Linked DNA regions of Mus musculus. The protein of the gene in region 1 purifies or fractionates together with the protein of each later gene. This does not show direct contact. Links are inferred from orthologs where the notes say so. Each region holds a gene or a part of one and is shown on either strand. Other genes may lie near its edges. The genes, in order: Psmb10 and Psmb4.

Region 1 (4,594 bases):
GTTTTTTCACAGATCTGCATTTTGAAGAAGGCTGGCACATGTTTCTTCAGTCTCGTGACCTACTGGAGCGCCTCCCCGCACCTGGTGTAGAAGTATATTGTCTCTACGGTGTGGGCAGACCCACACCCCACACCTACATCTATGACCACAACTTCCCCTACAAAGACCCCGTGGCTGCACTCTATGAAGATGGGGACGACACCGTAGCCACCCGCAGCACTGAGCTCTGTGGCCAGTGGCAGGGCCGCCAGTCGCAGCCCGTACATTTGCTGCCCATGAACGAGACAGATCACCTCAACATGGTCTTCAGCAATAAGACACTGGAGCATATCAATGCCATCCTACTGGGTGCCTACCGCACTCCTAAGTCGCCAGCTGCCAGCCCAAGTCCCCCACCCCCTGAATAAAGACCTAGCTGTTATAAATAAGTGCAGGGTGTTTGTTATGGGTTAAGGGGAAGGCACTACTAGGTTCCTTAGATAACCTGCATCACCTGGCTGATGCATGCTTGATCTGGGCTTAGGGGAACACGGGGTTCAGTGGGCTTTGCTAAGGCCCCAGACTGGACTGACTTTGAGATATGTAAATAGATTTTCATTGTCCTAGTTGAGCTGCTCAGGAAGCTTGCTCTGTGGCTTCCTTCTTAGGGGCCCAGGACAATATTCAGATCTGGGTATATGGCTGTTAGAATGGGGACACAGAGAAATAGGATTTGAAGTCGACTTTTGAGTTCTGGTTGGATACAGAAATTTATAATAAAGCATGGTGGTGCACGCCTTCAACTCAACACTTGGGAGGCAGAGGCAGGCAGATCTCTGTAGGCCACTCTGATACACACAGTTCCAGGACAGCCAAGACCACAGAGATTCTGTCCCCAAAACACAAACAAATAAATAGAATTTAAGATATTGGGGCTGGGGATTGTTAATGTAAGAACTTGGATTCCATGACAGCCGGAGCTATACAGAGAAAACCTGTCTCGAAAAAACAAACAAATAAATGGGGCTAGAGAGATGGCTCAGCGTCTGTTGAAAGAAGCTGTTTTTCCAGAGGACCCTGGTTCAATACCCAGCACCCACATGGCTGCTCACAAGTGTCTGTAACTCCAGTTTTAGGGGAGCTGACACCTCACACAGACATGCAGGCAAAACACCAACGCACATAAAATAAGCCATAAAAAAATTAAAAAATTAGGGCCACGTGGTGGTACACATGCCTTTAATCTTCTCATCCAGGCCAACCTTGTCTACAGAGCTTATTCCAGGGCAGACAGGGCTACACTCAACTACACTGAAAAACAGTTTTTCAAGCGCCCCCCCCCCCCAAAAAAAAAGTTTAGGATCTGAAGAAAAGACAGTTCATCTAAAGAAGATTTAATGTGAGACATTAGAGAGAGAGAGAGAGCAAGCACTCAGAAGTTAAGAGCATTTTTTTGCACTTGGAGAGGACCTGAGTTTGGTTCCCAACGCCCACGTGGTGGCACGCCCACATGGTGGCTCATGATCATCTGTAACTTCAGTTCCAGGGAATCTGATGCCCTCTTCTGACCTTGGTGGGCATGTGGCATGCACATACCACATTCACTCACACACATAACTAAGCCTGCAAGGGCTTCATTTCTACTTACTTTTAAGGGGTTATGTGTGTGAGTGTTTTACCTGAATACATGTATGTGCCTGCAGTGCTCAGGGGGTGTCAGCAGAGATGGGAATGGAGGATCTAAGGCGCACCATAGGTCTGGCAAGGAGTGTAATAGCCCCTTCCTCAAGTTATCTGGGACTAGCAGCAAAGACGAAAGTGAAAGAGAAGATGCACACAGCAGCCAACAGCCTCTGAACTAGGGTGGGGGTGAAAGCGAAAGTAGGAAGCGTCCGGAAAAACCCCACAGAAGCCAGGACAGACGCCTCTGCTCCCCCTGGCTGATCCACTCATCGAGACCCCCGCATTCTCACTTGGCCTTCCTGCGAGATGCTGAAGCAGGCAGTGGAACCCACAGGAGGCTTCTCTTTCGAGAACTGCCAGAGGTGAAAGGGGAGTGGAGTTCTAGTCACGAACTGCTGGTGCCTTGTTTTATTGGTGGAGTGGGGGAACCCTATGTTGGGTGACCAAGTAGGGGCTTAAGCCAGGAGATGAGTAGAAATGGGTTTGGGGACCGGTTCAGGGACCCTCCCTTGATGCAGAACTGAAACGCGAGTCACCCCAATGTTTCCAGGAATGCGTCCTTGGAACACGTCCTTCCGGGACTTCGGGTTCCTCATGCACGCAAGACCGGGACTACCATCGCGGGGCTTGTGTTCCGAGTAAGCGGGGTGATAAGGGCTGGAGGGCTAGAAGGGCAGCCACTGCGGAGATCAGGTGGGCATTAAGGCTGGGCTCTGCCTCTGCAGGATGGAGTCATCCTGGGAGCGGACACGCGGGCCACTAACGATTCGGTTGTGGCGGACAAAAGCTGCGAGAAGATCCACTTCATCGCCCCTAAAATCTAGTCAGTATGCCCCGGACCAGTCCCCATATTCAAACATAAGCTGCACTGTCGCTCACTCCCTACTTTGTCCCTGCACGTCCCTGTCCACATCCACCATCCCTTTGTCCCTTAGCTGCTGTGGGGCTGGAGTAGCTGCGGACACTGAGATGACTACGCGGATGGCAGCTTCCAAGATGGAACTACATGCGCTGTCCACCGGCCGTGAGCCTCGGGTGGCCACGGTCACCCGTATCCTGCGCCAGACGCTTTTCCGGTGAGCAAGTGGGGCTAAGATGACCCCTAAACGGGGTATCTGCAGGTGGGTGGAGTTGACAGGAGGCGGGACGTGGAGTGGGGGGGAGCGGGGCTGCGACCTGCAGGGAGACCGGAAGAAGACAGACCAAGCTGAGTTCCGGAAGAGGCAGCGTCAATTGCAGGACGCCAGGCCAAAGGAAGGGGTGGGACTCAGACCAAAAGGCAGTGTAATGGGCGGGGCCTGTCTGCTAACATTAACCCTGCCTGCTCCTCCACAGGTACCAAGGCCACGTGGGGGCATCACTGGTCGTGGGCGGGGTTGATTTGAACGGACCTCAGCTCTACGAGGTGCACCCACATGGTTCCTACAGCCGTCTGCCCTTTACTGCCCTTGGTGAGCTCTTCCACCCTTTAAATCACACGAATCCTGCTCCTGCAACCCCACCTTCAAGGTTTGTACCTCCGCAGCTAACAACTGACTTCGGATGCCCCTTCCCACCTGCAGGCTCTGGTCAGGGTGCAGCCGTGGCACTGTTGGAAGACCGGTTCCAGCCAAACATGACGGTGAGCGACTTCTTCATGCTCACTGGCGGGGAGTGCTGAAAAACCCTAGCCAAGTATAGAAATAAGAAAGGCTTGTAGGTGTGAAGGGGACAACTGAGTAGGGACTGAGTAAAGTTGAAGATGGGAGGGCCAGTCAGGAACCAAGCTTAGACCACAGAGAGAAGCAGAAGCTCACAACGGATCATTACTGAAGGAAGAGGTAAATGATGTTTGAGATTGGACTTGGGAGTGGGATAGAAGTAAGTGACTATGTGCTTCAGAGATAACTAAGGCCCAGAGAGAAACACGTGACAGACTGGGTGGGAAGACAACTTGGGGGGGGGTACATGTAAGCAACACTGAGAAGTTTGTACAGAGGACAGTGAGTGGAGGGCACACAGTTTTGGAGGAGAGGGGGTCAGAAGCCAAGGGACTGGAATTTTCAATGGATGGAGAGAAAGGAGGTTGAGCTTACATAAAGAGCAAATTGTCTAGACTTCAAGATTAACAAGTCCCCTGGTTAGAGTGTGGTAACACTAGGTCCATTTAACCTCATTTCCACTACCCAGCTGGAGGCTGCGCAAGAGCTGTTGGTGGAAGCCATCACAGCAGGGATCCTGAGTGACCTGGGCTCTGGGGGCAATGTGGATGCCTGTGTGATCACTGCAGGGGGTGCCAAGCTGCAGAGAGCATTGAGCACCCCCACCGAGCCTGTGCAGAGGTAAGAGCACAGGAAGGGAGGGCTCTGTGTGTGTTCACACGTGTGCATGGACAGGCTGCATTCTAAAAGGCTGGCCCTCCTCCCTTCTAGAGCTGGCCGTTACCGATTTGCTCCTGGAACCACACCTGTCCTGACCCGGGAAGTGAGACCCCTGACCCTGGAACTTCTTGAGGAAACTGTGCAGGCCATGGAGGTGGAATGAAGTGGCCTGAGATGTAGAGTTTGGAATGAGGGTGAATAAATCCGGGAAACACAAACACTTAAACAGAAGGCTGTGTCTTTCTTGAGAGGAGTGAGCCAAGCATCTGTAGGAGTTTTGTGGCTGAGGTATTCACCTAAGGACGACAGACCCAGTTCTTGGCCTGAGGTCCTCCTCCTCCTCACCTCAGGGATCTATCCGTGCAGAAGCCCAGGACTATAAGCTTTGGGGTAGAAAGCTATATCCTGTCATCCCCAAACCATAGTTCCATATGGTAGAAACTTACCCCACCAGTACCCTGTCTTGGAAGACCCCGATGGACAATCCCCACTGTTAGCCTTTCCCTTTCTTATCAGTAACCACCTTTTTCCACCAGCTACCCTGGGACCTTAGGAGGCTAAAATGCTGATAG
Region 2 (4,262 bases), on another chromosome or scaffold:
GACAAATAATGTCTGGATTATATAGGAAAGAGCCTCTGTGGGGAGGGGAATCCTGGCCCCTGGGCTGGAAAAGTTCAGAGTAAAGGGTGGGTTGTGCCAGGTAGGGACTGAGGGATGCTGGGAGAACCTGGAGGCTATGTCGACTTGAATATGTTAAATATGCACCTCAGCCAATTGTTCTGGGTCAGAACTTCAACATCAATATTCTCTCATATGTGGAATCTAGGTGTGTTTGTATGTGTGTATTAGGTCAGGAAAGTAGAAAGGTGCTCATAAGGAAAAGGCTCTTTAGGGACCCGGGTGAAGGATTAGAAGGTAATAGAACACGTGTCAGTGGAAGCACGAAGGGTCTTCTTAGACAGGGAGGAGGAAGCAGGAAGACAGGGAAGGCACTGAGATGGGCACCAGTGAGGGTAGAGTAAAACGACATCTAGGATGAAAAGGCTGTAATGAAACCTATTGTTTTGTATGCTATCTTGAGGGGGCAGGGGAATTCCTCCACTGCCTCTAGTTCACTGTGGATTCTTTTTTCTTTTAATACAAGATCTCTCAGTAGTTCAGGTTGTCCTGGACTCTGAGTGTAGTCCAGAATGGTCTTGTACTGGAGGCATTCCTTCTGTTCCAGCCTTCTGAATACTAAGATTTTTCTCTTTCTCCCTCTTCTCTCCCCCCCACCCCCCCTTGTTCACCACATAAGTGCCTGGTGCCCTCAGGGCTAGAAGAGGAGTTACAGGTGATTGTCAGCCACCCCGTGGGTGCTTAGATTCGAACCCCAGTGCTATAAACGTGGGCCATCTCTCCCCTTGGTTTGTATCTTTTCTACCTTTTATTGACTGTAACGGGGTAAACCACTGTATCTTATGCTTCGGCTTCTTATCTATCAAATAAGTTGATAATGCCTGCTCTATTGGCCGGCTCTGAGAAGTAAAACAGTAAGAGAGCTTGGGTCCAGTGATTCTTCAAGCCTTGTTTTTGATATTGATCCAAAAAGCACATGGTAACAGGTCCTGGTGCTTGTCCCACACGGCCTGCTCCTCCTGAATTGTCAGAATACTGGGATCTAGGCATCCCTACTGCAGTGGGATACGGGGATGCGGCCTTGTGCATTTCTGTCAGTCTTGGCGGCTACTCTGGACCAGGACTCCTCAAACGGCTTTATAAATACAGAGCCGGAGTCCTGACCCATGGAAGAGGCAGGCAGGAAGAAGAGAGGCGTGGCAAAGGACCACTTCCGTTTCCGGTGACGCTAGCGCTTTCATTTCTGTCGGCTGAGGTGACTAAGATGGAAGCGTTTTGGGAGTCACGGGCTGGCCACTGGGCCGGGGGTCCGGCTCCAGGGCAGTTTTACCGCATCCCGGCCACCCCCAGCGGCCTCATGGACCCGGCGTCGGCGCCCTGCGAGGGTCCCATCACTCGGACCCAGTGAGTCGCGCTCTCACCGCGCCGGGAATGGGCGGCGGGCCGGGATGCGGGGACCTCTGATGCGCGGGCGCCAGCAATCGGGGCTCCGGCCTCGCGCTCAGGGACCCTTTTCACGATTCAGGAACCCCATGGTGACCGGGACATCGGTACTCGGGGTGAAGTTCGACGGCGGAGTGGTGATTGCTGCAGACATGCTGGGCTCCTACGGCTCCCTGGCTCGTTTCCGCAATATCTCTCGTATTATGCGAGTCAACGACAGCACTATGCTGGGTGCCTCGGGAGACTACGCTGATTTCCAGTATTTGAAACAAGTTCTCGGCCAGATGGTGTAAGTCGCCTCCAAGTGGAGCGGACAGCCTTCCGTTTATTATTCCTGTAGGCGGGATGGAGGGACTTGAGACTTTGGGTAATTGTTGAGACATTTGTGAATGTTTGGAATACTTTTTGGTATTGGGGGGGGTGGTCTTGGATTGTAGAATTGTGTGTAGAACAGGGAGTGGGATGGGGAGCCTGACCTGTTATCATTGCTTTCTCAATTGTATTTAAGGATTGATGAAGAGCTGTTGGGAGATGGACACAGCTATAGCCCTAGAGCTATTCATTCATGGTTGACAAGAGCCATGTACAGCCGCCGCTCCAAGATGAATCCCCTGTGGAACACCATGGTCATTGGAGGCTATGCTGACGGAGAAAGGTATTTGATAACTTCCTTGACCGCCTAACCTAGCACCTATGTAGTGTCTCTTCAGTCTTTAAACAGAATGGTTCTTTACACTTCTTTTGGTATTTGTGCTTGTGTAGTACTGTGTGTGTGTTTGTGTGTGCATGCATCTTCTGCATTGTGGATTCTAGAGATCAAACTTGGGTCATCGGGCATGCTGGCAAGTGCCCTCACCACCGAGCTATCCTGCTTCCCCACCCTCAGGCACTTTGACCCCAGAGAATTTCCATCTTTTAATTCAGACCTAATGGACACAGCTAAGAAATGGAAGATTAGATCAGTTCTTTGATGTGTTTGTCCCTCTAGCTTCCTCGGTTATGTGGACATGCTTGGTGTAGCTTATGAAGCCCCTTCACTGGCCACTGGTTATGGTGCATACTTGGCTCAGGTAAGTAGTGGGCCTAGCGATGGGGAGAAGAGAAATAGAAATGAGAAGGCAATGTTAATCTCTTTCCCTTGGAATTTTGATAAGAGAGGCTGGAATCCTAACGTTGGGCAGCTGGTTTTCTTTGTCTAAGGAGAATACGTTTACATTAACTTCCAGTGACAAGAAACAGCCTTGGAATGGAAACAGTGGCAGCCCTAGGCTTCCCCACTTTTAAGAGAGTCTTAGCTGGGCATGGTGGCACATATCTGTAATATTAGTGCACAGGAGGCTGAGGCCAGGAGGACCATGCATAGCAAGACTGCATGTATGTAGGCTGCATAGCAAGACTATTTCAAACACAAAACAAAGACTCCTTGGGTTAAGTCACTTTCCAAGGCTGACAGGCAGCCTGGGGTCACCATGGTGGAGGAGACAACCAGCACCTAAGAGCTGTTTTCTCACTTCTGCGTGCATGTGCACATACCCATACAAAAGAATTCAATGTCAAACAAACAAAGCCAGCACCTAATTCTTTTGAAACAGTGGGTAGAAAACTCATCCACTTTGGTGCCTGTTTACATGGGTTAGAGTAGGTTGCCTTCTGTTAAGCCAGTCTAATTTCTCCAATGTTTTGCCCGCCTGTGTAGCCTCTGCTTCGAGAAGTTCTAGAGAAGCAGCCAGTGCTGAGTCAGACTGAGGCTCGGGAGCTTGTGGAGCGCTGCATGAGAGTGCTGTACTACAGAGATGCCCGTTCGTATAACCGGGTGAGAAATGGGCTGGAAGGTACAAATTCTGGAGCCAGGCATGGTGGCACATGCCTTTAATCCCAGTAGGGAAACAGGGGTGGGTGGGACTCTGCATTTGAGGCGAGCTTGGTTTACATAGTGAGACGCTATCATTGCACGCTTTGCCTTCTTTCAGTTTCAAATTGCCACTGTGACTGAAAAGGGTGTCGAGATAGAAGGACCGCTGTCCGCACAGACCAACTGGGACATCGCTCACATGATCAGGTGAGCAAGCTACAGTAGGGATCGGTGACACAGGGAAGCTCTTGACTTTTACAGAATGGCTCTTCTGGAGGGTTCAAGCAGAAACTCTGTGTGGGTGGTTTTGGAGGGAACCTCTCCAGGTTGGGGGCGGGGGAACTCTCCAGGTGGGTGGTCTTGGAAATGGGGAGCTCCTTCAGAAGTTGATGCCTTTATCCGCCTTCATTTTCCCTAAATGTTTCTTCTTTCTTTAGTGGCTTTGAATGAAATCCAGTTGAATGTCCAGAGTGTTGAAGCTTTGCTCTTCTAAACGTGACTGTAGCTGGCTCAAAGGCAGACTTTTGTAAAATAAATCAGTCGTTTGAAGTGTTCGCTGAGTTGGATTTTGTGTTTTGAAACAGGATTTATGTAGCCCAGGCTTGCCTGGAACGCAGAAATCTGCCTCCCAAAAGCTAGAGGTAAAAGCTTCTGGCATAGCTGGCAATTCAGTGTTTATTCTAACATGGTCACATTGAGACCTCAGCTACCAAGTACTGCTTTGTACCATGTCCGTGCTGTTTCCTTTCCTGGAGAGAACCATTTAAGTCTTAATGTGTGTGCCCAGAGGTTGTCTTTCTCAATTATTTTCCTTTTTTTTTTTTTTTTTTTGGTTTTTCAAGACAGGGTTTCTCTGTATAGTCTTGGCTGTCCTGGAACTCACTTTGTAGACCAGGCTGGCCTCAAACTCAGAAATCCGCCTGCCTCCCAAGTGCTGGGATTAAAGGCC

What was found.
Region 2: the proteins of Psmb10 (region 1) and Psmb4 fractionate together in Homo sapiens (co-fractionation; 4 studies listed by BioGRID and IntAct, with this or other methods). This does not show direct contact. The link is inferred for Mus musculus from reciprocal best matches to the Homo sapiens genes PSMB10 and PSMB4.

Annotation. Positions count from the first base shown.
Region 1 is NC_000074.6:105,935,385-105,939,978, reverse strand, and holds Psmb10 (proteasome subunit beta type-10), read left to right. Parts: upstream 1-1,586; 5' UTR 1,587-1,968; coding exon 1,969-2,024; intron 2,025-2,212; coding exon 2,213-2,300; intron 2,301-2,387; coding exon 2,388-2,485; intron 2,486-2,597; coding exon 2,598-2,738; intron 2,739-2,997; coding exon 2,998-3,113; intron 3,114-3,224; coding exon 3,225-3,283; intron 3,284-3,831; coding exon 3,832-3,983; intron 3,984-4,073; coding exon 4,074-4,185; 3' UTR 4,186-4,251; downstream 4,252-4,594. Other genes in the region: Lcat (phosphatidylcholine-sterol acyltransferase precursor), read left to right, coding at 1-407. UniProt on the Homo sapiens protein: The proteasome is a multicatalytic proteinase complex which is characterized by its ability to cleave peptides with Arg, Phe, Tyr, Leu, and Glu adjacent to the leaving group at neutral or slightly basic pH.
Region 2 is NC_000069.6:94,883,929-94,888,190, reverse strand, and holds Psmb4 (proteasome subunit beta type-4), read left to right. Parts: upstream 1-1,232; 5' UTR 1,233-1,282; coding exon 1,283-1,422; intron 1,423-1,543; coding exon 1,544-1,750; intron 1,751-1,969; coding exon 1,970-2,116; intron 2,117-2,449; coding exon 2,450-2,531; intron 2,532-3,157; coding exon 3,158-3,274; intron 3,275-3,431; coding exon 3,432-3,520; intron 3,521-3,750; coding exon 3,751-3,763; 3' UTR 3,764-3,867; downstream 3,868-4,262. UniProt on the Homo sapiens protein: Non-catalytic component of the 20S core proteasome complex involved in the proteolytic degradation of most intracellular proteins. This complex plays numerous essential roles within the cell by associating with different regulatory particles.